Mus musculus: one gene and its partners. The protein of the gene in region 6 purifies or fractionates together with the protein of the main gene of each other region. This does not show direct contact. Links are inferred from orthologs where the notes say so. Each region holds a gene or a part of one and is shown on either strand. Other genes may lie near its edges. The genes, in order: Ubtf, Hnrnpc, Ehmt2, Snw1, Nolc1, Chd4 and Sirt6.

Region 1 (3,500 bases), on a different chromosome or scaffold from region 6:
GAGCAAGCAAGGAGGCAGCTCATTTCCACCATGCTTCCCAACAGAAACCAGAAACAGCACGGCCTCCCTAGGGCACCCTCAGTCCTCCTCAGACGGGAACTTAAAAGGCATCTCAGGGTTCACCCTCCACGCCTCAATCAGGAGTACTGAAGTGACTTACCTGAAGGACCAGACACAGCCGACCGGCAACAATATGACAGGCCCACATTAGTGTGCCCGTGCCTAAGCTTTCTCCACTCAAGTTTCTCTGTCCCTCCCTGCTTCTGCTTCTTAGCCTCTCTCTCCCACCCCTCAGGGGTCTGGTGGTGTGTGTAGTCACAGTCCCAAGTCCTCACCCATGGGGTCAATGGCAGCCCTGCCAGTTAATGCTACTTGGGCTTGGGTATGGGCCACAGACAGCTGGTTTTACCCAACCAAGCCTATCCCATTTTGGATTTAACAGTAAGAGCATATGAGCTCAGCCAGATTAATTCGTTTGACTCTGTGTTCTTTGCCCACCAGTGTGCATCCTTCAGACCCTACTGCCCGGCACTGACACCCTTGGCCTCATCACCCAGCATCTCCTCCTCACGTTTGGCTCTCTCCCATCTTTAACGTGTTGAACTCCCTTCAGTATTTTGCTTCCCTGTCTTCCAGGGAACCCCCCTGAGCTTGTCTTGGGCTTTATCCATCTCTGCCCAGGAGGTTCGGACAACGTTTACCTAAAGGCCTACACCCCTGAGAATCTGGACAGGGGTCTGTTTCTGTAGGAGGAAGCAGCCTGAGGCAAGGAGAGACCGTGTACCCTTGTACACGGGAAAACAAGGTCACTTATGTGACGCGGCAGGGGGAAGAGCACTGGAGGGCAGAAGAGGTTCCAAACTCAAGTGTGTTCCAGCATCATTTAGCTGGAAGCCTCAAGCTACTCAGCACTCCTATGCCCCAGTCCTTGCTCAGGACAACCAGTCTCTCCCCTTTCCTGGGTCTCTTGTCTACTCAAGTATCATGGTGGGTAGGAGAATGGCTGCACAGATTCACAGGGAGTGTGGCTGTTTGGCTGTGGGGTACAGGAGCAGTCTGAACGCCTTCAGGGTCCTCCCCTGCAATGGGTCCTGTCTGACCATGTGTGGGCCAGGAGGGGGATAGGTACCCCGGTGACCTCCAAAACAACTACACTGTTGTGTTGACCCCTCCACACGCCCAATATGGAGTCCCTTTTGTCTCTCTAAGGCCTATCCCCACCCCGCTGACCTTCCCACACCAGCTGCCCCCTCCTGCAAGTATAACTACCCTCCCCACACCTGAGCCCCCCCTCCCCCCACCTTCTTCTTCTCTGGAAGTTCCTTGTATTTCTTAGACAGGATCTTAGTCAGGTCCAGGTTGCTCATCTCCGGGTGGAGCTTCGCGTACTTGGCCCGCTTCTCCATGAAGAAGCGGAAGTAAGGGGTGAGAGGTTTCTTTGGAAAATCCGGGTGTTTCTGGAACACAGGAAAGCGGGGTTAGATGCCACCTATCCTTTAAACCCCTCTTCCCTGACGCGAGCTTCTCCTCCTGGTAACTCACCTTGAGCTTTTTGCCTTTGTAAGGGTTTTTAACATGTTCCTGAGCATCAAGGATCAATTCTGTCAATGTACGGAACTTCCTTACCTGGGGGAGCAAACAGGAAGAAAGGAATTTGGGAAACATCACTGCATAGTCCAGCATCCCTTTACAGTGTTAGCACTGCCCTCCACCACACTGAGTTCAATGAAGAAAATAAAGCGACAACATAGATTATAGGCAACTTCTGACCCAGAGGCACTCGCTCATATCTGCTACAGAGGCCCAAGTAGTTGGGGACAACCTAAGAGCAGTCACAGACTGATTTCAACGTAGCTTCCATGCCTGCATCTCATTCAGCCCCTAGAGTATCCAAAGTCACCTAGAAGATTGTGGTAGAACTGTGAGCACTAGGCGGTTGCTATCGCCCAGGCCACTTCCTCCCCTAAGGCATACATTAGAGCTGACAGAAGAACACGTGAAGGCCTTCTGTCCAAAGTGACTGGTTTGCTTTCCCCGTTTTCTCTGAGATGAAAAGCATATACACAGCCGGGCGTGGTGGCGCACGCCTTTAATCCCAGCACTCAGGAGGCAGGGGCAGGCGGATTTGAGGTCAAGGCCAGCCTGGTCTACAGAGTGAGTTCCAGGACAGCCAGGGCTACACAGAGAAACCCTGTTTCTGAAGGAAAAAAAAATAGCATATACAATATGTATTTATTTACAGGAGTCAAAAAGTGGGAAGCACTTACCTCGTTAGAAATCTCCACCCATTTGAGCTTGCACATATCTCCTGAAAAATCCTTAAACGCAACTTTTTCCCAATCCATGTGCGACTCTGTGGTTTTGAACTTGGAGCTGTCGTTGGATGGGAGGTTGTTCTTCATGCATTCCAGCAGAGTCAGCATATCTTCCTGGGACCAGCGGTCTGTGACATGTAAGAGAAGTCACCACACCTGGCTCATGCCCTTCTCTTGATCTGTTCCCCAGCCTCTGAGTTCACCCCCTCCTCCCCAAAGCCCCTGGTTGCTTCTCATCTGAACCAGTACATGGCTCAGTCCTAAAAAAGAAAAATAACCGTGGTCCTATTAAATCAGGGAAGGGACTCTGGACCAGATAAAATAACCACCATACTTAAGTTACACTGGGAATCCTGTCTTGCTTACCTCAAAGCAATCACTTTTAACATGCTAGGCTGCCATGGGCCCCTATTTACAGTATGAGATGGAGTGGGAAGTCTAGTGATTTAGGGCCTATGGACAAAGGGCTCATCAGAAAGGGAGGGATCAGGGAAAGAACGTATCTAAATGTGGTCAGGCTCTATGTGAGTGTCAAACATGCAAGGCCTGAGGTTGAGGTGTGAGTCCTAAGGCTCCCAGTGAAGATGTCTGTCCAGCACAGCTGGAGATCAACAACTAAAGGCAGGTACTCCACCACTCTAGTCACTTTAAGGGAGACCAAAGCAGCATTTCTGGCAACTGAGAAAAGTGGAATTCAAACATTAGCACCATACACAGTAGTTCTGAGAAAAGGCAAGCAGGTGGACAGAGTTCTCAGGGCCTTGGTCTCTGGAGAACCCCAGAACTCCAAGTTGACATCTTAGCCCAATTATTTTCAGCTGCTAAAGTGCAGCCCAGAGACAGCTCTGAGCCTCTCTGCTATGGAGGCTGGGCTGGGGGAACCCTTGGCCAGGATGCAAAAGAGCTCCTGACTTTCATTTGCATCTGGTAACCTGGGCCGGTTTCCGCAGAAAAGGGTCACATGGCCCATAATCCTCTCTCCCCTGATGTCTCACAAACATTGGCAGATGCCCAGTTTCCTACTACCCTCCATGTCATAAACATAACACTGCTGACAGAGGTGGCTAGGGTCGGGGCATCTATAATTCCTAAGGCTTGGAGCCATAAACCACAATCCCCTTCCCTGTTTTCCACCTGCCTCTAGTGAAAATCTCCACTAAGGTGTGATACTTCAAGCTAAGAAAC
Region 2 (3,500 bases), on a different chromosome or scaffold from region 6:
CCAGCAGCCACATCAGATCTGATGCCATCTTCCACCCCAATCTTTTTTAAAAAACTAGAAATGAACAAAATCTCACAACTTTGAAAGACTTAAGATATTCTCATAGTGGAATAAACCTGTGAACATTTTAACTTGACAAGTTTTAGTATTAACTTAGTTTAATACCACCAGTAAAATATCCTAAATAGTTCTCTAACAATATCTAAATAGTTCTAAATAGTTTCCAAAATAAACTAGCAACAGCAGTTTGAGGGAGGGCCAGGGATGACACCCTTTTTTAGTCACATGCTGGCACTTAGTGTTCCTATGAAGACACAGGCTCCTGAGTCTTTTGCTGATGTATATACCAACTATGAAAAGGGACAGAACCACAGTCTTTATTCTCAAATTTCCCAACTGCTTTTTTTGGGGGGAGGGGGCGGGGGAGTCACCTGAATAAATACAATACCCAATATCAGAAAGTACCCAATACTGAACTAATTGAACCCACCCCAGCATTTTGTACACACCAGCTTCTAACAGCATATTTAAACAGGTTTTATTTATTAGCATCTTTAACCTCTGATATCTAGCCAATTCCTCAAAAACCCAAGACAATATCAAGATTAGGGGAAGGGGCAGAGGGGGGTCACAATAAAAGCCATTTTTATATTTGCACACTGGAGCCAAGGGAAGCCCCTAGATCAGCCTCTCCTCAGTTTTATCATGGGTTACTTTTGCCTACAATGCATAGCATGAAAGCATAGACTTGCAGCTGTATGCTAGATATACACAACAGGGTCTTTTTGAGAAGTAGAAAGTCTGTGTGCATAAAAGATTTGAATAGCCTGCTATACAAAAATAAACAAACAAGCCCCCAAATCTGTTTATACCTTTACCTTATGTTAGGTCTTACACAGCAAAATGTTCCAAGCTGACTCAAACAAATCAAGAAAAGGGGTAAGAGTACTTCACATGGGTAATTATAACTCTCGTTATAGACTCAGTTCTTAGGAAGGCAAATGCTATATAAAACGGGAAAGACAAATGCTTTCCTATTTTGAAACTTTTGAGGCACAGGTTGAGAATGCAATAAAGAAACCTGGGTTTTAATCAGTAACTGAACATTCAAGCACTCCGTGTCAAAAATATTTAAAGTTAACAATGCTCTCAAAATGACTTTTATTCATATATATTGGTATGCATGAAGATTATATTTAATACAACCTAACGATTTGTGGAGGCTGCTATTAAAAAAAAAATGTAATTGAAAAACTTTCTTTCCAGCAGGGTGTGGTGGCGCACGGCTTTAATCCCAGCACTCAGGAGGCAGAGGCAGGCAGATCTCTGAGTTCCAGGCCAGCCTGGTCTACAAAGTGGGTTCCAGGACAGCCAGGCCTATATAGAAAAATCCTGTCTCGGAAAAAAAAAAATTGTCTTTCCTTCAAATTCCTGGTTTAATAAGGAACTGTTTATTTTTGAGAAAAAGATCCCAAACATCAGGCTGTTCACAAAAATAACCCATGGTATAACTTTAGAAAACAAATATTAAGACTATTACACTATTTTCCTGTAAGATGCATTTGACATGCCAACTCCCATTCACAAAAATACATGGTTACATTCGTGTTGTAACAGTCCCACTCACGTGAGGGAAAACACACACCTCTAATGCAAAGCTGCTCTTGGGGTTACAAGTAAATGAGATGCCTCTGCAGTTAGGGAAGCAACTACTGAAGTCATGAATGGGAAGAACTGTACTCCCTGCATAACAAGAGATTATTTTGGAGACAGTTGATAAAAACCATACAACTTTTTATTGTTAAGTCAAAGAGGTATCAAAATTAAAGCAAAACTTACAGGGTGAGACTTAACGAAAGTACTACGGAGCATCAAAGGAAGTGGAACTGTAACTAGGCGCAGGGCAATCATGAATTAATGAACACAGGGAGGGTAAGGCGGGACAACAGTGAGAATGTGCAGAAGACCCCAGGGGAGATGACCTGGTGTTACTTTCATCTCCCACAAACGCCTAGGTAAATGAATAATGGGATAAGATTTCTAAGCTCCACTATGTGCTTAAGAGTCATCCTCCCCATTGGCGCTGTCTCTGTCGTCTTCTCCTTCCTCAGGCTCTTTTTCATCATCCTTCAACTCCAGCTGTGAGAAAGACACAAATAAGGGAGAGTTAGAGGTACTCTTCTCATCCCTGGACCCCAGTCCTCCCAACTTTCTTTTTTCCAAAGGTAATCACCTGGTCATCCCCCCGATCTTCATTATCGTCATCATCCAGCAGGTCACCCTCCTCAGCAGAGTCATCTGCACCTGCCTCAGACTCCATCTTCACATTAGTCTCATCTTTCTTCACAGAGGCGCTGCTCTGCTCTTCTTCAGACTTTTCATTCTTCATCTCTACTGGGGATGAGAAGGACAAGTCTGTCCAGGGGCAAGTGTTGCCCACAGGATATAGACAATTCCCATTAATCATCAAAGAACAAAAGTAAAGTTTTCCAAATAAATTAATGCCCCTTCCAAACAGCCCAATTTGCATATACATTAAACCACCTTAGGAAGATAACCCAAATTCAATTAGAAAATTAAAAGACTATTACCTGCTTGCTTGCTTTGTTCTTTTTCAATTTTTTCCAGGCTTTCCAGAAGAGAATCCACTTTTTGTTTTATCTGAGTCAGCTCCTTTTTAATGGCCTGAAGGTCATCACCTTTCACTGTAACAGAACTACAATGTTAGACTAGAATAAAGCACCATTTACCAGTTACTGAAAGTGTTCTTTCTAGGTGCTGTGCCTTAGGTCTCAGAACCACAGGAAGAAATGTTTTTCTAGTTAACAATTCAAAAAGCTGAAAGAAATACAGAGGCACCAACTGCAATAGTAACTAGTAATCTTTAGTCAGCAAATGATTTAAAAATAATTTTTAAAAAAAAGCTATAAATGCCTTACATAGTATCACTTTAACCTAAACATGTATTTTCCTGACCAAAAAAATATCATTCTATTTTATAGCAACTTCTAAGTTGTCTTATCATTGTGTATGTGCCCATGTTCATGAAAGTGTTCCGATACAGGGAAGGCTTTCAGTCTCCTGTCTACACCCCCATTTCTCCTTAGGGGCACTGAGATTAGCCCAGCTTTACTTCTGTTTTAAAAAGAAACAAAACAAAAAACTTAAGCTGAGAATTTCAACTAAGATACTGCAATTGCTCTATTTACTTTCTCAGCTTTCATAGTTTGCTGACATACTTCAATTATGTCGATCAATATAGAAAACTGACAACCAAGAGTATGCCCTAGCTAAAATTTAGTTCAACATAAACATTTATAAAATTAACCAAGCTATTAAGTACAGAACTCAGACTACAATCCTTAAACAACATTCTTTCCCCCTCTTCCCTGGTTTGTATTTTTTTGGGTAAACTGAGACCAATGCCAGGTGTCACCTTGCTCTCTATCACAGGATATAGGAGGTGTTTTAAGAGATTAAGAACAGTGTTGGGCTGGAGA
Region 3 (2,802 bases), on a different chromosome or scaffold from region 6:
GTCCCCCCTTTACCTGCACGCTGCCTAGATGGAGCATGCCTGTGGCAGACAGATCTGTAAAGTGGAGAATAGCTTTTTCCTGTGCACTTCCTCCCCTCTGCCGTCAGACTCACCTAGGTTCTCTGTGGCCTTTAGAGCAGAGAAGCCCCTTCACCTGCTCCGAGGACCTCCCAGTTTCTCTGTTCCCTCAACTTCTCAGACACCCACTTCTCTTGGGCAATTCCTCTTCCAGCCACATGGGGCGACCTCATGACTGATGTAGCTGCGCAGAGCCTACCACCTGTTTGATAGTTCCTGGTGCACACACCTCCTAATGTCTAAGCCTGGCAACTTTCCACCCAGCCAGCCACCAGGGATGCTAATCCCCAGAACACAGGCTCACACACACACACACACACACACACACACACACACACGTCATCTCCCACCATGCCTGCTCAGGTCTTGCAGGCTCCACCTGTACAGAGCCTCCCACCTGCCTGTCTACAGCTGCACAGCGACCCCTAGTGGCTGGACCATGTCCTGCATCTCTCCCCTGGGCTCTGAGAACTGAGTGGGAAGGTGGGGCCGGGAGCCCTGCTCACTGTTCATGCAGAACTGAAGTTTCCGTCCAACAGGTATGTAGGAGAGCTGATCTCTGATGCCGAGGCTGATGTGAGAGAGGATGATTCTTACCTCTTCGATTTAGATAACAAGGTGGGATGCAGCACCTCTGCCCTCAACTACCAAAGGCTGCTTTGTGCAGCCACCTGTAACATCTGGGACTGGAAGCCTGGGTGGAGGGACTGGGTGTCACTGCAGGAACACTAGCCAGGCAAGTGGATAGAAGTGGATATTAAGAACACTGTGTCTCCACCCCCAGGATGGCGAGGTTTACTGCATTGATGCCCGTTACTATGGCAACATCAGCCGATTCATTAACCACCTGTGTGACCCCAACATCATCCCTGTCCGGGTTTTCATGCTGCACCAAGATCTACGGTTCCCACGCATTGCCTTCTTCAGCTCCAGGGACATCCGGACTGGGGAGGAGCTGGGGTGAGGAGCCAGCCTGAGGGCACTGACCAGCCTTTGGTGTTCTTTTTTTTTTTTTTTTTTTTTTCCCGGTTTTTCGGGACAGGGTTTCTCTGTGTAGTCCTGGCTGTCCTGGAACTCACTCTGTAGACCAGGCTGGCCTCGAACTCAGAAATCTGCCTGCCTCTGCCTCCCAAGTGCTGGGATTAAAGGTGTGTGCTACCATACCCGGCTTCCTTTGGTGTTCTTAGGTGTCCCTTGGAAGGCTTGTTAAAACTGTGTAAGGCAGGAGTAGGAACATACATTCATGATCACAGCACTCAGGAGGCTGAGGCAGGAGGATCACAAAGAGTCTGGGCTACAGAGTGAGACCCTGTGTCAAAACAAAACAAGAGAAGTCCAGGTTGCCCTGGTATCACATGCCTGTCATGCTAGTGTTTGAAAGAGCTTGAAGCAGAAGTACCTACAAATTCAAGGCCAGCCTGGGCTAACTACAGAGTTCAGGACAGCCAGGCCTATGTAGAGAGACCCTATCTTAAGCAAAAAACAAGAAGGGGGATGGGGGCTAGTGTGGGTTGGCTGGATGGTTGAGTATACTAGGCCCTGGGCAGGCTGCATCCCACTTCCCGCAGAGCCTCGGGAGAGTCTGGTCACAAGGCAGGAAGGCTAGAAGCCTGCATTTATGACAGTTCTCTGGGAGTGTGAGTCAACAGAGCCAACAAGGACCTGGAGTCCATCTGCAGGAGTGGTTGGGTGGAAGAAGGTGGATCCCTCAAGAGGGCTCCTGGGCTCTATGAGATGGGTTTGAAGTGTCTAGATCCAAGGGCCAAGAGCTCCTGTGTTTCCTCTGCCAGCTTTGACTACGGTGACCGATTCTGGGACATCAAGAGCAAGTATTTCACCTGCCAGTGTGGCTCTGAGAAGTGCAAGCATTCAGCGGAGGCCATCGCCCTGGAGCAGAGCCGCCTGGCCCGGCTGGACCCCCACCCGGAGCTGCTCCCTGACCTCAGCTCCCTGCCCCCCATCAACACCTGAGGACTCTTAAAATCCAGGCCGGGCACTGCCCTTCAGACATTTCTCCATCAGAGACCCCAGTAAGGCCTGGAAGGTCGATGGCCCCTCTCCCAGAGCTGGTTTCTCACTGGGAGTGCAAGTGACTTCAGGGCTGGCCTTCCCCACTGAGCCTGGCCTCAGTTAGCTGATTGAAGTTGGGCCTCTGCCAGCTGATTTTCTGTGTTCTCAATAAATGTTGGGTTTGGTAATAAACTGTCTGGTGATTGTTTCAGGACGATGAGGACTATGGGGCTGAGGGGACAGTTGGGTAGGAAGCAAGCTGTGGCTGTGGGGTGGAAGAGAACAGCTGTGGGGCACCCACTGGCCACAGGGGTTTAAGGAAAAGCAAATCACAACCTAGAGGTTTGGGTGTGCCACAGTTGAAGTACTCTAAACAATTATGCAGTGTTTCCTTATCAAAGTGCTCCGGTTTCTTCCTGCTGCGGTCCGTAGCAGACCCGGTAAGCAGCTCCTGGGACCCAGTTCTGAGCCCTGGTACCCCTGGGCTGGTCAAGAGTTGAGATCTGAAAAAGGAACTGTAGAGGACCACAGGCAGGGGCGGGGCTGTGACGTCTGGGAGGGAGGGCGGGGCGGGCGGCAGGTGAGCGGCTAGGTCTCCGTGGCTCCAATCACTCCGGAGACTGAGCCATGGGGAGAAAGCAGAATGAGAACGAGGCTCACGGTAAGGCTAGGGGCAGAGGCCCGGGCTCTGGAGAGAGGTGGCCGGGCTCTGCA
Region 4 (4,106 bases), on a different chromosome or scaffold from region 6:
GGTTTTGGGCTATGCCTTTCTGATTTCCCACATTCATTATTTTAACATTGCCCTCAGTAGCCTCTTTAGTCTCTCATTACCATAGAAAACCAGTGTGTGGCAAGAAGAGTCCTTTTGTTTGTTTGGCGTGGTGATTTACTTATGCTTAGTGCAAGGTGTGGTACTCTCAGGAGGTATGGCATTGTTGGAGGAGGTTTGCCACTGTGGATGTAGGACTTTGAAGAGATCTATATCTACTCAAGCTCTGCCCAGAGTGAGACAAGCAGTCTCTCCTTACTGCCTTCAAATTGGCTTGCTGAACTCTCAGCTCCTTCTCCAGCACTATGTCTGCCTGGATGCTGCTATAATGATAATGAACTGAACCCCTGAAAATTTAAGCCAGCTACAAGTGATATTTTCCTTTATAAAAGTTGCCTCAGTCATGGCATCTTTTCACAGTAATGGGTACACTAAGACAGTTTGGTTTTAGTCTTTTGAGACAGGGTTTCTTTGTGTAGTCTTGGCCATCCTAGAACTAGCTCTGTAGACCAGACTGGCTTTGAACTCACAGTGATCTACCTCTGGGATTAAAGGCATGTGCCTCAACTGCTGGACTAAGAACTGTCTTTCTTGAGCTGCATTCAGTGGCAAAGACCTTTGATCCTAACACTTAGGAGGCAGTGTCAAGCTGATGTCAGATCATGACCAGCTTGGTCTATAGGAAAAGTTCCAAGGCAGCCAGGACTACACAGAAAAACCCTATCTCAGAAAGAAATAATTGTCTTTCTTACCTGTCTCAGTCCTACTTCAGCTCCAAATTATCAGCTGAACTAAATCTACGCTCATTGATCTTAATTTCTAGCATCTTCTTTATTTGCCACACCCCACACTGTTTTTTAAATAATTCATTCGTGAAGCAAAATTTAAAGTAGATGACTGTTAACACAACGATTAACTATATGCACGGAGGGTGGCTTATAGTGGGGGATCAGCCAGACTTTGCATCCTATTCAAAACTCTTAAGCAGTACTATGTGTAGCGGCCTTAAAGCAGAGTTGGATAATAGTATTAGCGTCCCAAAATAAGGCTTTATATCATATTTTGTATTATCACTACTGACATGTTAAACAGAGACCCTGTAGCCTGTAAAATCTACAGAAGTAAGGAATTTCGTATGCTAAGGTAGTTGTTGCTAACGCACTTTCAACAGACTGGCTGTCACAAGTCTCTCTCAAAGAACTACAAGGCCCAGAGGGCCGTTCGGTCAGAGCGCCTGCGCAGTGAGCATTTTTCCATTGTGTTCCTCGTTCCCGGGCAAGACTCGCCCGGCGACGTTGTGGCCTGCGCAGGAAGAAGCGGAAGAAGATGGCGCTCACCAGGTGGGTTGTTGATTTGGGTCCTCGATACGGAAGGGTCTGGAGTACACATCTTTTCCTTTCTGCCCGTACTGTTCGGGCTGTGACCTGGCCTGAGGCGCAGAAGTAACTTAGTCAAAACCGTGGCTGGAACCTCTCTCGGGCTTCCTCCGCGACTAGGCCGCGCCGAAGCCGGGGTCTTTCCTTCGGGGCTTCCCGGGTTGAGTTCGCCCCCCCCTGTTCCGAGAGCCCTGACATGGCCTCGCCGCGAGGACCTCACATGTGCTTCGCGTAAGCGGCGCGGTAGATTGACGAGCGCCTTGTGGACTGCGGGCTGAGATGGTTGCACTGCGAAGCCGCGGCTTATTTAACCCCGCTAAGCAAAGCTCGCCCGTCTCGTGGGAGGCTTTCCAGCCGCTTGTATGTTTTGTGCTTCTCATTTTCTCCTGCTACTCTCTCTCTCCCGAAACAAAGATTTTTGCAAAAAAAAAAAAAAAAACAAAACAAAAAAACAAAGAGTTGGGAACGTCCGAGAACCGACCAAGTTTTTTTTTAATTGACAGCAGTAGGGGCTGCTGTTGACTAAATGCGCGCCGCTCCACCTTTTAACTTTGGATCTTAGAATTTCTTTTGTACATAGAACCACCTCCGGCTTTTGCTGTTCCTGGTTGCCCTGGTTACTGTATGTAAAGTGTTTCCAACCTTTAAGGAAAAGAAAATGCTAAGTGGGAGACTTCCAAAAAGTTATGTAACTCCCAACTGCTGTAAGTGGAAAAACTTTCCATGCAAACTCAGCTGGAAAAGTCTGATTTTAAAGAAGGTATTCACTTTAGGGCCTTGGATTGTACCTGTTAAACCCACTTCTCATATTTTTTCCTGGCTCATAACAATATGAATCCTAAGAATATTTTGGTTATATGAATTAAGGTTTGTTGTCCTGCTTTGCCCTAGAGGTAGTATATGTAGAATGAAAAAAAAATTTTTTTTAAACCGGGAAGATGGACAAGTGGGTACACGGATGAAAATAGTGCAGGCGGGAGGATCTCAGAGTTCCAAGGCCAATCAGGTCTGTATAGGTAGTTTAAGGCCAGGATTTAAAAACAAAAACAGAATAACACTGACCTGGTTAGCTTTAACTGTCTGCTTAACACCTGGTCAAAAGATATCAGGTGAAAAAATTGCCTAGAACAGATTGGCTTATGGACATGTCTGGAAAGGATTGTTTTTCTTGCTAAGAGATGCAGGAAGATCCAAACCACTAATGGCTGCTCCATTCCCTAGGCGGGATATCCTGAACAGTATAAGCTAGATGAGTATAAGCCACTCTGCCAACCAGCAAGCAGCTTACATGGTGCCTAGCCTGCCTGCCTGCTTGCCTCCCTCCTTCCTTCTCTGCAAGAAAGCAAGTCCCTCTTGCTCTTGATTGTCTGTGGGATTTCACTAGCTGCCTTGACATCTCTCGTGGGTTTTAACCTGGAATTAAAAGCCAAATGTACTGGCTGGGTTTGTGTGTCAATTTGACACAAGCTCAATTTATCACACAGATAGGAGCCTCACTTAAGGAAATGCCTCCACGAGATCCAGCTGTAAGGCACTTACTCAATTAGTGATCAAAGGCGGGAGGGCCCAGCCAATTGTGGGTTGTGTCATCCCTGGGCTGGTAGTTCTGGGTTTTATAAGAAAGCGAACTGAGCAAGCCAGGGGAAGCAATCCAGAAAGCAGCAGCCTCCATGGGTACTGCATGAGCTCCTACCTCCAAGTTCCTGCCCTGTGCGAGTCCCTTTCCTTACTTTCTTTGGTGATAAACAGCATTGTGTAAGTGTAAGCTCAATAAACCCTTTCCTCCCCCTACTTGCTTCTTGGTCATGATGTTTTGTGCAAGAATACATACAGTGACTAAGACATCAGATAAGCCCTTCCTCCTGTAAATTGTGTTTTGCCGCAGTTTTTTAACAACAGCCACAGAAATGAAACTGGAACCAACAGATGATGTACTGGTACATCAACAGATGTGTGGTCCTAGCCTCGGTACAGAAAAATAAGAGTGAGTTGTGCTGACTGAGTGTTTTAGATAGCAAATATTCGAGTCTTCTTCAGGCACTATGATACAGATTAGTAGGACCATGAGAGGGAAAGTAGAATTTGAAATGGATGCACACAAGAAGAACGCCAGAGGTATAATATGTCTTGAGTGCCTATCAGCAATGCTAAAAGGTGAAGTCTCAAAATGGTCGGGCTTGAGGACTACAAAGCTTTCATTTCTGTGTTTTTAAATGTTGTTTATAAAACTAGCAAATACGGACTGGGGAGGAATAGGTCAGTGGTTCAAAGCAGTGGCTGTTCTTGCAGAGGACCTGGTATGTTTCCCAGCACCCACATGGCAGCTCAGGTTGCTCTGTCTGGTAAATGAATAGTTAATCATAATGCAGAAAGTTGGATGGTATACACATGGTCTAGACAGCTTTAATCCCAAAACTGGGGAAGCAGCTGGATCTACACAGTGAGAGTCTGTCTGCTGACAATGAAAACAGAAAAACCAATAGGAAAGCACAGTAGCATAATGTGGAATTCCTCTATAATCTCATTACTCTAGAGGCTGAGGCTAGACAGGGACAAGTTCAAGACCAGCCTGGACTACCTAAATAGGCCTTGTTAAAAATTAGGAAGGCCACCAAACCCGGACACTATTGCATATGCCAGAAAGAGTTTGCTGAAGGGACCCTGTTATAGCTGTCTCATATGAGGCTATGCCAGTGCCTGGCAAATACAGAA
Region 5 (4,076 bases), on a different chromosome or scaffold from region 6:
TTTCTGAGTTCAAGGCCAGCCTGGTCTACAAAGTGAGCTCCAGGACAGCCAGGGCTACAGAGAAATCCTGTCTCGGAAAAACAAAACAAAACAACAACAAAAAAATCATTTGCCACCATACCTATGAGAATAAAAGTTTTCTCAACTGGGGTTAGTGTCTATTAAGTGTCATTAAAGCTCACCAGTTTGGTTTTGATCACCATCTTGGTTTGTGAATTTTTTTTTTTTTTCTTTTTTTCCGAGACAGGGTTTCTCCGTGTAGCCCTGGCTGTCCTGGAAGTCACTTTGTAGACCAGGCTGGCCTCGAACTCAGAAATCCGCCTGCCTCTGCCTCCCGAGTGCTGCGATTAAAGGTGTACGCCACCACCGCCCGGTGGTGTGTGTATTTTAAAAAAAACGATTTTGAGGCCGGGCGTGGTGGCGCAAGCCTTTAATCCCAGCACTCGGGAGGCAGACGGATTTCTAAGTTCGAGGCCAGCCTGGTCTACAAAGTTAGTTCCAGGACAGCCAGGGCTATACGGAGAAACCTTTCTGTCTTGGAAAAAAAAAAAACAAGCCAAAACAAACAAACAAACGATTGTGTATGCATAGAAGCACCTCTGGGAAATAGGATAACGGGTCCTTTTAGAAGGAGCGCCTGTTTTGAGGAAAGTAAAAGAAAGGTATTCACCGGAAGTGCATCTTTATTGCTTCCTGACCTGGACAGTAGCTGATACTGAAGTTTTCCGAATTCACTGTGACTTCTTTCTTTAGGAAGAAAGGATTTTTCTTGATCTTTTCCCTGGGATGGTCCCGTGTTCCTGTTCTCCGAATTGTAGATGGGAAGGATAACTGTCTTGTAACCTAGCTATGACTGACAGACAATGTGGGGTACCAACACCTTGTCACCACAACTTTTAGGATCCTCTGATTTGAGTCTGGGTCTGGGTGGTATCCTGAAGGACTTCACTGGGTGTGAAGGGAGGGAGGAAGCCATTGTCCGTGGGAGTTTGAGCAGTAGGTGACACCTCTAGAAGGGTTGAAAGAGCCTCGAGTTCTCCAGTGCACCCATTATTGTTAGTCCATTCAGTACTGTGAGGTCTCAGTAGCAGCCAGGGCTTGGAAATCTACAGTAGGAAGAAGCCCATTCAGCAAAGGTAATGCGCGGGAATTTGCAAGTTTTCCCGCCTCGGACAGGAGCGTGGCATCTGACGTAGAAGCTCCGCCTCCTTAGTGGGCGGCTCGTGGGCTCCGCCCCCTGCAGGATGATGACGCGTGTGGGACCGGAAGCAACTTCTAGATTTAGTCTGGGTCTCTCCTCCCGGGTGGAGGGTACGCGACCTCGTGTGCGCCACTCTTTTCCGCTGCGCGCCGCGCGCGACTTGATGACGACACTGGACCCGCCCTCGACCCGGGCTGTGCTTTGGTGTTCTTAAGTCGTGCCGCGTGCGCAACGGTAGTGACGCGTTTTACCCGGAGCATGGCGGATACCGGCTTGCGCCGCGTGGTTCCCAGCGACCTTTATCCCCTTGTGCTCAGATTTCTGCGGGATAGCCAACTCTCGGAGGTGGCCAGTAAATTTGCAAAAGCGACCGGCGCTGTGAGTCCTTGGTTTGGTCTGCGGGCCGGGGTGGGACGACTCTCCGAGCTAATCTAGGCCTTGTCGGCTTTAGAAGTTAAGGAGGCGAGGGCTGGGGTCTGTCAGTCCGTTGTCTGCCCAGCTTCTCTGCGGACCTTCCTCAGGCTGGAGGTCTCGGTGTCTCCTTCCACCATGTCTGACTAGCTAGCTCCGAGTATTACGGCTTTTACTTGGTGTGAGTTTTTGCAGCGGTGACAGGCATGGGTCCCTCGTGACCCAGGACATGTGGCGCTAGATCCCTCCGGGAGCATTGGGTTGGCGGTGCGTGGTTCTTCTGTACTTTTTGTTGGACTTACCCTTAATTGCAGTTTTACCTGAGACTCAAAGATTTTAGTAATGAAGGCTTGGATTCTATTTATACACTTGTTTGTTTTTACAAAAGAAGATGAGTGAGTGCAGGGATAAATTGCGAAGTAATGATAGCTAGGACTTCATATTGTATTTACTTATTTTTTTAAAAAGAAAAAAATGAATGAGTGTGGTGATAGGTTGCTTTCAGTATACTCTAGGAGTAGTGAGCGTCCGCCTGTGTTAAGTTGGCACTGAGCTTGGAGCTCCAGGTAGTGATGTTAGGCCAGGCTCTGCGGCTTTCTGCATGTATGATCCCAGCAGCCTTTTGTTTGAGACAAAGTTCATGTAGTCCTTGTGTAGTGGAGGATGGATATGAACTTCTGTACCTCTTGTCACAGCCTCTTCATGCTAAGTGCCTTACTGCCCTGCAGCACACTTTGTATACCATACTGGCCTTGAACTCAGCTCAGTCTCTGTCTACCAAGTGCTGGGATTAAAGGTGTATATCACCATGCTCAGCCCAATTTACAGCTTTTGAGTGAATGAGACTCACTGAGAGAAAAATGCACAAAGTAGTAACTCCATTGTAGGCACACAGGAACATGGGGTGAGTGACAGCTGTTATGTAAGAGCAAAATGTTTACTCTGCACCTTAAGAAAAGCTGTAGCGGGCTGGAGAGACGGCTCAGCAGTTACGACCACTGACTGCTCTTTTAGAGGTCCCGAGTTCAATTCTCAGCAACCAACCACATGGTGGCTCACAACCATCTGTAATGGGATCAGATGCCCATTCTTCTAGTGTGTCTGAAGACAGCAAAGATGAACTCACATAAATAAGGGGGAAAAAAAATGAAAGAAAAGCTGTAGTGTTCGTGGAAACACCTTGAAAGGCTGTAGGCCTTAGATCCTGGGACTCTTGGGTTATAGGCCACCAGATCTTTTGAGATAGGTTACTTCTTTGTAGCAAAATACAAAAAGGTGATTTTTGCCACAAAAGGAAAGATCAGGTCAGTCTCATAATAAGGGAGTTCTTTCAGCCGGGACAGCCTGACATGTGATCTGGTAATACATCCCCCAACCCCCCCCCCCAACTCCATGTGCTCTGAATTGATGGACCATCTAGCCAGTGCTCATTATTACTCTCCTCTTCTTCCCTCCCTCCTATTTTACTTTATTTTTTTGGTTTTTCGAGACAGGGTTTCTCTGTGTAGCCCTGGCTGTCCTGGAACTCAGTAGACCAGTCTGGCCTTGAACTCAGAAATCCGCCTGCCTCTGCCTCTGCCTTCCAAGTGCTGGGATTAAAGGTGTGTGTCACCACTGCTCGGCACCCTCCCTCCCTCCTTAAGGCAGGGTCTCTATGTTCTGGCTGTCCTTGAACTCACTATGTAGACCAAGCTGGCTTAAACTCCGATCTGCTTGCCTCTCCTTTCCATGTGCTAGAGTTAAAGGCGCGTGCCACCGTACCTCGCACCTTTCTGTTTGCTTACAGTTTATTCTGCACATTTGTGTTTTGCCTGCATGTCTGTCTGTGTGAGAGCTGCCATGTGAGTACTGGGAGTTGAACCTGGGTCTTCTGAAGGAGCAGACAGTGCTCTTAACCACTGAGCCACCTATCTAGCCCTGCCTTTCTGCCTTTAAAAGTCATTTAATTAGAAAAAAAAAAGTTAATAGTTAGAAATTATGAGGCCAGAGATGTCAGAAGCTCTGTATGTGGAGTTAACAGGTACTGTTGCGTCTCCTGTTCTGGGTGCTGGTAATGAACTCAGGTCCTCTGGGAGAGTAACATGCTCTCTCAGCGACTTAGCCATCTCTCCAGCCCTCAGCTAACGCTCTGTTATCAATTGGTACAACATTTCTAAGACTTTAAAAGATATGGAAAGGCACAGGGATATACCATAAAGTTTTCACGCTCAAAGTTAGGTGATATGTAAGCGTAATATTTTCCTCCTGAGTTATACAAGTAGGAAAAGTCTTAAGATGTAACATCCATTTTGAGTTAAGTAGGGAGATAGCATAACTTTTGAGACAAGGTCTCTTTACATAACCCTGGCTGTCTGGAACTCTGTATGTAGTCCAGGTGGGCCTTGAACTCACTGATCTGCCAGCCTCTTTCTTTGAAGTGCTGGGACCATGCCTGGCTGACAGATTACATTTGATCAAGGAGTAA
Region 6 (3,500 bases):
AGAGACGTTTCTTCTGAATTTGGCCCACAGCGAGAGTATAGATTAGAGAGAGAGTATTGGTTCAAAAATAGGTATCATTGAGGCTCTGAATATATGTGGAATCTGGCACACTTAGAATGGTTTTGTCGGTTTTTTTTTTGTTTTTTTTTGTTTTTTGTTTATAAATGAACACTTTATTATATGTAAGTATACTATAGCTGTCTTCAGACACTCCAGAAGAAGACGGCAGATCTTGTTACAGATGGTTGTGAGCCACCATGTGGTTGCTGGGATTTGAACTCTGGACCTTTGGAAGAACAGTCGGGTACTCTTACCCACTGAGCCATCTCACCAGCCCGGTTTTGTCGGTTTTTAAGAGCAAGGCTGACTAGAGAGGTGAGGGAAGTTGCTTTCTGACTCTGATGAGTTTTTCTTTCTTGATCTTGTAGTGTGGACAAGAAGGGCCACGTTCACTATTTAATCAAGTGGCGAGACCTGCCCTATGACCAGGCGTCCTGGGAGAGCGAGGACGTGGAGATTCAGGACTACGACCTGTTCAAGCAGAGCTACTGGAACCACAGGTCGGTGACTGTGAGCGAGCAAGGAAGAGCAGACGTGCTCTTGCTCTCTCTTGGAAGGACAGGGACCAAGAGGCAGCTGTGGTGTGTTTTCTTTCCTAGGGAGTTAATGAGGGGTGAAGAAGGACGACCCGGCAAGAAGCTTAAGAAGGTGAAGCTACGGAAACTGGAAAGGCCTCCGGAGACCCCAACTGTTGATGTGAGTATGGGTGGAACAGGAAGGGTGTGTTTGTTGTGTGGGAAGTATGCTGCAGTCATGGTGAAGCTCCAAGTCATGGCCTGTGGATAGCTCTAGCTGAGATGGTCAGAAAGCAAACGCTGGGTGTTGTAAATGGTGCTCTGTGTCAGGTCTACCTGAAGCCTAGATATGTAGCCCTGTCTGCTAAAGGATCCTAGGCCGCATCCTGCAGTGAGCAGTGAGGTTCCCATCACTCCCTCTGCCAAGTGTATTGAGGGTCACACAGGTCCACAGCACCTTCTGCTTATTGTCCCCATGCCCCGATGACCTTTCCCCTTCCCTCAGCCGCCCCATTCTTCCCTGGAGCTCGTGCCCACATTCGTGCCTTTTGTTCTGTGACCCACTGGATTTAACTGATGTCTGTCTGTCCGTTAGGGCCTGGTGGATTCTTTGGCTACTCCACTTCACTTTAATTCTTTATTGTTATCACTCCAAAGACAGTATTTCCTTCTGGTTCCAGGACTGGCCTTGAGCTCAATCCTTCTGTCTCAGCCTAAGTACTAGGATTATAGGCGGGTCCTACAATGCCTTATTTCCCTAAGGGCTTTTTTATTTGGTTTGGTTTTGTTTCTCTTAGCTCTTAGGAAAAAAATATCTAGTGAGGACTTGTGTAGGAGGAAGCAGCTACTGTCTGCCGTCCCCGTCTCCGGGAAGGGCTTCTTTACCAGATTGTGACTTCTCTTCATCCTTAGCCCACCGTGAAGTATGAGCGACAGCCGGAGTATCTGGATGCGACGGGTGGAACCCTGCATCCCTACCAAATGGAAGGCTTAAACTGGCTCCGCTTCTCCTGGGCTCAGGGAACCGATACTATCTTGGCTGATGAGATGGGCCTTGGGAAAACTGTGCAGACAGCAGTCTTCCTCTACTCCCTCTATAAGGAGGTAAAAGATGCCAGGAGATGCTAGTGCTTGGTGTGGGTATTCTGTATTCTTTTCTTGTGCTTTAAGGAGTTGGAGGAAGGGAGGAGGAGGAGGTGCTGCTGAGGGGTAGGAAGACACAGGTCTGCAGTGCAAATCCTTTCTTTTCTTTTTCTTTTTTTTCTAATTATTTTTGTCTGTATATTGACCATAAGTATGGTTGTGCACCACCTGTGTGCAGTACCTTGGGAGGCCAGAAGAGGGTGTCACCTCCTTAAACTGGAATTGCAGACTATAAGCCATCGTGTGGGTGCTGGGATCTGAATGTAGGACCTCTGCAAGAGCAGCTAGAGCCGTCTTTCTAGATCCTACAGTGGAAATTTTACAGGATCAGAGCCCTGGTAGACTCAGTGCCTGGCATGTGTTTTGAGGGAATTACAGTTGGTCTTGGAGGAATTTGGTTTTTGTCACGGTGGGCCTAAGAGAGGGATAAATGGCTTTTGTAAATGATGGGAGGCAGGGAGGCAGAGGCGCAGGTGTCAGGCATCAGCTTCACTGTGGGGTGGGGCAGGGGTGGGGGAGATGGAGTCTGGGGTTTAGGGATGGGGCTCTTAGTCCTGACTCTGCCTGCCTTCTTCCTCCCAGGGTCACTCCAAAGGCCCCTTCTTAGTGAGCGCTCCTCTGTCCACCATCATCAACTGGGAGAGAGAGTTTGAGATGTGGGCTCCTGATATGTATGTGGTAACCTATGTGGGTGACAAGGACAGCCGTGCCATCATCCGGGAAAATGAGTTCTCCTTTGAAGACAATGCCATTCGTGGTGGCAAGAAGGCCTCGAGGATGAAGGTATCTTAGTGTGTGGGAGGAGGAGACTGTTGAGCGAGTCACTGCTGTTGGCTGGTTTGCTGCCTCACCTGGTCTCTAAGTGAGGCAGAAAGAGAACTTTGGGAGCAGGGAAAGCCTACCTGTCCCATTGTGTGGATGTGGACCAGTAGTGAGAGACGGGCTTATTGTTATGTGCAGAAAGAAGCATCGGTGAAATTCCATGTTCTGCTGACATCCTATGAGTTGATCACCATTGATATGGCCATCTTGGGTTCTATTGACTGGGCCTGCCTCATTGTGGATGAAGCCCATCGGCTGAAGAACAACCAGTCTAAGGTGAGGTGTGGGAGGAAACGGCCTCCAGTTCTAGTCCTTGGGGAAATTCATCTCTTTGAAAGAACCCTAAGTAGAGAAGAAGGGAAAGTGGTCTTTATTTCCTTCCTCACCACGGCAGCCCTTCTCTGGCCAGGCCTTTAAGAAGGATGCCAGCCATGGGATGAGACACTTAGTTCACTGGACAGTGAAACAGCTTGGCATTCTGTTGCAATACTCTGGTGCCCTCGTTTCTTGATTTTTATTTCTCTTCACCAGTTCTTTCGAGTTTTGAATGGTTACTCACTCCAGCACAAGCTGTTGCTAACTGGAACTCCGTTACAGAACAATCTAGAGGAACTGTTTCATCTGCTCAACTTTCTCACCCCTGAGAGGTTCCAGTAAGTGCGCCTGTCAGTCAGTCAGTCCCTAGCTCTACTCATTCTTGCCCATTTCCTGTGTTACTTTCCTTTCTTCCTTGTTTCCCCTTCTCTAACAACTTTTTTCTTTTTTCTGAAGCAACTTAGAAGGCTTCTTGGAGGAGTTTGCAGACATTGCCAAAGAGGACCAGATTAAAAAACTCCACGACATGCTGGGGCCTCATATGTTGCGGCGGCTCAAAGCTGACGTCTTCAAGAATATGCCATCCAAGACAGAGCTGATTGTGCGCGTGGAGTTGAGTCCTATGCAGAAGTGAGTGTGAAGGGA
Region 7 (4,260 bases), on a different chromosome or scaffold from region 6:
CTACCCATCCATCCATCCATTCACTGATCCCACCTCCTCTACTAATCAGGTTCACTTTCACCCCACACCTACCACCAAGGGTGGGTGACAAAACACCCAAAAGAGTTGTCCACATGCTACCAGTCTGAAGGAAATCGCCACGGCAAGGTGGCAGGGAAGGCCTGTGGATTTAAGGGTTTGCCTTCTGAAGAGGTGACACAGCACAGGTGACGCTGCGCACTGGGCCTGGGCCTTGGCTCCCGCGTGGGATGTGTGCACCTGTCACAAGTGTGCAGATGCGTGTGTTCATACTGTTGCAGGTAGCACCCCTCACCAGCACCCAGACTTCCCTGGCCTCCCTCACCCACATCCCCCTACCTCAGGCGACTCCAGACCGGAACCCAGCGTCCAAGCAGCCTCTCTGGTTACCCGCTCCAGCTGCGAGCCACCAGCAGCAGAGTAGAGGTGACACCCGATCAGGTTGGGGTGGGGGAGCGGGGGACGGATGAGCCAAGGGAGGAGACAAGCTGCTGTTAGCCAGCTTGCTCAGATGGGCAGCCCCAAGGACGGCCTCTCCCACCTCCTTGTGTGCTCCTGCCTCCTCGAAGCCTTTCTTGGGGTCTCCACGGGGATCAGGAGGCTTCGGTTGTTATATGCTGCCATTGACCCATCACATGGCTCCTGTGTCTGTTGATTACCAACAGGCAGAATGGTCAGATAGTGCCTCCCATCTCTAGATGGCCACGGAAGCAGGGCTCTTCACCTCTCTCCTTGCATCTCTGGGCACCTCTGGGTAACACGTGGAACTCGCCCAGTTCTGTGGACCTAACCCTATGCTCTGTGATATTCCGGGAGGTGCACTCCAGAAACTAACCCAGGAAATGTTGGCAGGGGGCCCAGAGGTCTTTCCTCTGCCCAAGAACCCCAGTTTTCCATTCATTCTCTCCTGTAGCCAGAGTCAGGCAGACCCTGGATGACAGTCACAAAGGTTAGGGTATCATGTAGCCTAGCGTGGCTTCGAACTTTCTGTCCCCTCCTGCCAGTGCTATAAGCACTCCGGGCAGGGCTCTACACACTGAGAACTGTGGATTTTTGTTTTGCTTTGTTTGGTTTCATTTCTGGGTTTTGCTGATGTTGTCTCTTTTGAAACAGGGAGTTGGTCTGGGACTCGCAATCCCCCTGCCTCGACTCCTGTGAGTGGCCTCATCACTTTTCTGGCTCTGGTCGCGGATCCCAGGACTGGGGAATCCACTAAGTCAGAGAGGTAGTCTCGGCCAGCACTGAAGACTAAGCTTGCTGCATCAGGAGGGCGCATGCGCTCTGGAAAGAATGCTGTTTTTCACCTCCACGTACCCACCCCACCCTCAGGCACGTATCTAGGGAAGGCGGCTACTCTTTCCCGACCGTCCCTTCACCACTTCCGGCGGAAGCGGCCTCAACAAGGGAAACTTTATTGTTCCCGTGCGGCAGCGCCGGCGACGATGTCGGTGAATTATGCAGCAGGGTTGTCGCCTTACGCGGATAAGGGCAAGTGCGGGCTGCCCGAGGTGAGAGCTGCAGTGTTCGAGTCACCGAATGACCCCAGACGGGGAGCGGCCGGGCGAAGCGGGGCATTGTGGGAACAGCATGAAACATAGAGTCTAGACAATGGGAGGGACTTCCCTGGAAGGAGGGGGCGGGAAGTGACACCCACTGCTCAGGCTGGGTGACACGGAGGAACCTGGGTCAGGGAAGGAGTGAGGGGCTAATGGGAACGAGACCAAATCGTCAGGTCAGGGAGTGGACGTCTTAATTGTCAGGGAAAACCTGGAGCTGTGGGAAGATCTGCAGGGCCGGAAGCTGGCACCCTTTCCTGGGGGCATCCCTGTACCCCACTCTGTACTCCTCCCTGAATCTGGGCCAGATGGATCCTGAGTGTGGGGCTGTCAGTCTTTGTTGTTTCTGAAGGGGTGTAGTAGGGTGGAGGGTTCTCTCTTTGTAGCCCAGGCTGGCCCCGAACTCACAGGAATCTTCCTGCCTCTGCCTCCCGAGTACTGGTGTTAAAGGCCTGCGACACCATGCCCTGCCTGCCTCATGTTAACGGAGCCCCTAGACAAGTAGAGCTGCATCTTGATTTAGGGGAGAGAGGTGGGTTATCTAAAGTCCAGGATGGGGGATGACGTCAGTGGGGAGGTCACGTGGGCCACAACCAGACCAGGACAAAGGAGTGGCTGCCTGCAGGAACAGCACTCTGGGAAGAGGGCTCGGCATGTGCAAAGGCCCTGGGGTAGGACACAGCGATGTGTTAAGAGTGTGGCTGGAACTGAGGGATGTTGAGAAGGGGCAGACAGAGCATTGACCCACAGGAGGCCTGCCACTTGGGAGGTCACGTGTTGCCTCCTCCTGCCCTCTGACCCTACAGATCTTCGACCCACCAGAGGAGCTGGAACGCAAGGTGTGGGAGCTGGCCCGGCTAATGTGGCAGTCCTCCAGCGTGGTTTTCCACACGGGCGCCGGCATCAGCACCGCCTCTGGCATCCCCGACTTCAGGTCGGTGAACAATGAGGGGAAACTGAGGCAGGGCTCTTGCTGATACACCTCTAGGGACTAAGGTGAGGTGGCAGAAGGACCTTTCAGTTTTCCTATGTCTCTGAAAGGCCCAGCAAAAACTCCACTTGCCCAAGGATCAGAGCATGCCCACATAATGTAGTAGCTGCAAGGCATGCTGGGAAATGTATTCATGCAGCTCGGCCAGCCACTGGGTTTTCTAGGGTCAGAATGACTCAATGTTGTGGAGTGACTAGCTCACCCATAACCTTCGGTGGCAGCCTATGACCACTGTAAAGCATTCTGGGAACCCGCAGCCGGTCTTAACCAGTACTCAGCCCCAGCTCCACTAGCTCCCCTGCCTTTGTTTACCCCCAGACCCTCAGCCCCTCCGCCTCTTTCATGAAGACGTCCCATGCTCTTTAGAATTCTTGCCTACCCGGCAGTCATTGTCTCCACCACAGGATACAGAACCACCCTAAGAACGGGGCTGGGGCCAGCATGGGCTGACTTCAGCATTAACAGGAAGAGCCCACAGCCTGGAAAATGAATGTTTGACCTCTGTGCCTGTCCTCCTCTGCTTGCTATCCTCAGAGGCCCCCATGGCGTGTGGACCATGGAGGAACGCGGCCTGGCCCCCAAGTTTGACACCACCTTCGAGAATGCTCGGCCCTCGAAGACCCACATGGCCCTGGTTCAGCTAGAACGCATGGGCTTCCTCAGCTTCCTGGTCAGCCAGAACGTAGACGGGCTGCACGTGCGCTCGGGCTTCCCCAGGTCCGATGAGTCGGCCGGGGGGCTGGGGCTCAATTGCATCTCTTCCTCCTTATTGGACCAGGGTGCCCTAGCTCAGGGGCATTTATTAGGGATGCAAAGAGGGGGAAGGCTCGGAGCCCAAAGCCGGGCAGTACTTGGTCAAATTGGGGGGATGTAGGCAGGGTTCCACCCCTCACTGGGGTGGGGTGGGGAGGTTGGCAGGGGCTTTAGGGCCAACTGACTGTTGCGGCAGAGGGCGAGTACATGACAGAATTTCTCCATGTCTTGGCTACCCTGGGACTTGCCCTGTAGATCAGGCTCACAGAGATCCACTTGCCTCTGCCTCCCAATGGAGGGATTAAAGGGGTGTGCCGCGGCTAGCCAACAGGTTTTTTGTAGTGGGGAGGAGGTATTTGTGAGTTTGTGAAGACACCGTCAGACAGCTATGCATGCAACAGTTCCTCAGAATGGGACAGGCTGGGACATCCTCCAGGAAAGAGAAGTGGACGCCCCTTGTGAGTGAGCCCCCTAGGAAGGCTTTCTGGAGGAGGAGGCAGACTGAGCAGCTGGTCCAAGCCCCAGGATCTGGGAAGGGTCCTTACTGGCATCTTCTTCTGCAGGGACAAGCTGGCAGAGCTGCACGGAAACATGTTTGTAGAGGAATGTCCCAAGTGTAAGACGTGAGTGTTGCCCGTGTAACACAAGACCCTGCTCCTCCCCTAAGCCAGCTCAGGGTCCTAGCATGGCCTAGAGAAGGCCAGAGACAGTCAGATGAAAACAGACCAACAAAGGCTCGTAGACAAATGGGGCAAACCCTTTCTTCACAGCCCCCCAAGGGAGAAGCTGGTCATGCCCTTGGCAATGAGGGGTTCTCCCTGCCCTGCCTTTGCTATGGCTCTGGGCTGGGTGTCAACATGGCTTGCACACCAGAGCCTCGGGGTGTTGAGCAGGACTGTGCCTCCTGAGCTTTGGCCCCTGACTCCCTCTTAGGGGTTCTTT

Evidence for each region.
Region 1: the proteins of Chd4 (region 6) and Ubtf purify together in Homo sapiens (affinity purification with mass spectrometry, with the first as the bait; 3 studies listed by BioGRID). This does not show direct contact. The link is inferred for Mus musculus from reciprocal best matches to the Homo sapiens genes CHD4 and UBTF.
Region 2: the proteins of Chd4 (region 6) and Hnrnpc purify together in Homo sapiens (affinity purification with western blotting; 3 studies listed by BioGRID, with this or other methods). This does not show direct contact. The link is inferred for Mus musculus from reciprocal best matches to the Homo sapiens genes CHD4 and HNRNPC.
Region 3: the proteins of Chd4 (region 6) and Ehmt2 purify together in Homo sapiens (affinity purification with western blotting; 3 studies listed by BioGRID and IntAct, with this or other methods). This does not show direct contact. The link is inferred for Mus musculus from reciprocal best matches to the Homo sapiens genes CHD4 and EHMT2.
Region 4: the proteins of Chd4 (region 6) and Snw1 purify together in Homo sapiens (affinity purification with mass spectrometry; 3 studies listed by BioGRID and IntAct, with this or other methods). This does not show direct contact. The link is inferred for Mus musculus from reciprocal best matches to the Homo sapiens genes CHD4 and SNW1.
Region 5: the proteins of Chd4 (region 6) and Nolc1 purify together in Homo sapiens (affinity purification with mass spectrometry, with the first as the bait; 3 studies listed by BioGRID). This does not show direct contact. The link is inferred for Mus musculus from reciprocal best matches to the Homo sapiens genes CHD4 and NOLC1.
Region 7: the proteins of Chd4 (region 6) and Sirt6 purify together in Homo sapiens (affinity purification with mass spectrometry; 3 studies listed by BioGRID, with this or other methods). This does not show direct contact. The link is inferred for Mus musculus from reciprocal best matches to the Homo sapiens genes CHD4 and SIRT6.

The regions. Positions count from the first base shown.
Region 1 is NC_000077.6:102,312,597-102,316,096, forward strand, and holds part of Ubtf (nucleolar transcription factor 1), read right to left. Parts: intron 2,444-3,500; coding exon 2,268-2,443; intron 1,627-2,267; coding exon 1,543-1,626; intron 1,458-1,542; coding exon 1,302-1,457; coding exon of another isoform or gene 1,266-1,301; exon of another isoform or gene 1,013-1,265; intron 1-1,012. UniProt on the Homo sapiens protein: Recognizes the ribosomal RNA gene promoter and activates transcription mediated by RNA polymerase I (Pol I) through cooperative interactions with the transcription factor SL1/TIF-IB complex.
Region 2 is NC_000080.6:52,073,022-52,076,521, forward strand, and holds the end of Hnrnpc (heterogeneous nuclear ribonucleoproteins C1/C2), read right to left. Parts: intron 2,706-3,500; coding exon 2,592-2,705; intron 2,416-2,591; coding exon 2,234-2,415; intron 2,140-2,233; coding exon 2,059-2,139; 3' UTR 356-2,058; downstream 1-355. UniProt on the Homo sapiens protein: Binds pre-mRNA and nucleates the assembly of 40S hnRNP particles. Interacts with poly-U tracts in the 3'-UTR or 5'-UTR of mRNA and modulates the stability and the level of translation of bound mRNA molecules. Single HNRNPC tetramers bind 230-240 nucleotides.
Region 3 is NC_000083.6:34,911,772-34,914,573, forward strand, and holds the end of Ehmt2 (histone-lysine N-methyltransferase EHMT2), read left to right. Parts: intron 1-617; coding exon 618-696; intron 697-862; coding exon 863-1,038; intron 1,039-1,868; coding exon 1,869-2,049; 3' UTR 2,050-2,302; downstream 2,303-2,802. Other genes in the region: Slc44a4 (choline transporter-like protein 4), read left to right, coding at 2,468-2,528. UniProt on the Homo sapiens protein: Histone methyltransferase that specifically mono- and dimethylates 'Lys-9' of histone H3 (H3K9me1 and H3K9me2, respectively) in euchromatin.
Region 4 is NC_000078.6:87,469,500-87,473,605, reverse strand, and holds the start of Snw1 (SNW domain-containing protein 1), read left to right. Parts: upstream 1-1,306; 5' UTR 1,307-1,344; coding exon 1,345-1,358; intron 1,359-4,106. UniProt on the Homo sapiens protein: Involved in pre-mRNA splicing as component of the spliceosome. As a component of the minor spliceosome, involved in the splicing of U12-type introns in pre-mRNAs.
Region 5 is NC_000085.6:46,074,571-46,078,646, forward strand, and holds the start of Nolc1 (nucleolar and coiled-body phosphoprotein 1), read left to right. Parts: upstream 1-1,276; 5' UTR 1,277-1,459; coding exon 1,460-1,579; intron 1,580-4,076. UniProt on the Homo sapiens protein: Nucleolar protein that acts as a regulator of RNA polymerase I by connecting RNA polymerase I with enzymes responsible for ribosomal processing and modification.
Region 6 is NC_000072.6:125,105,981-125,109,480, forward strand, and holds part of Chd4 (chromodomain-helicase-DNA-binding protein 4), read left to right. Parts: intron 1-428; coding exon 429-560; intron 561-659; coding exon 660-756; intron 757-1,487; coding exon 1,488-1,679; intron 1,680-2,300; coding exon 2,301-2,501; intron 2,502-2,678; coding exon 2,679-2,816; intron 2,817-3,071; coding exon 3,072-3,193; intron 3,194-3,311; coding exon 3,312-3,485; intron 3,486-3,500. UniProt on the Homo sapiens protein: ATP-dependent chromatin-remodeling factor that binds and distorts nucleosomal DNA. Acts as a component of the histone deacetylase NuRD complex which participates in the remodeling of chromatin.
Region 7 is NC_000076.6:81,624,738-81,628,997, reverse strand, and holds the start of Sirt6 (NAD-dependent protein deacetylase sirtuin-6), read left to right. Parts: upstream 1-1,460; coding exon 1,461-1,526; intron 1,527-1,675; exon of another isoform or gene 1,676-2,106; intron 2,107-2,380; coding exon 2,381-2,508; exon of another isoform or gene 2,509-2,570; intron 2,571-3,099; coding exon 3,100-3,282; intron 3,283-3,881; coding exon 3,882-3,941; intron 3,942-4,260. UniProt on the Homo sapiens protein: NAD-dependent protein deacetylase, deacylase and mono-ADP-ribosyltransferase that plays an essential role in DNA damage repair, telomere maintenance, metabolic homeostasis, inflammation, tumorigenesis and aging.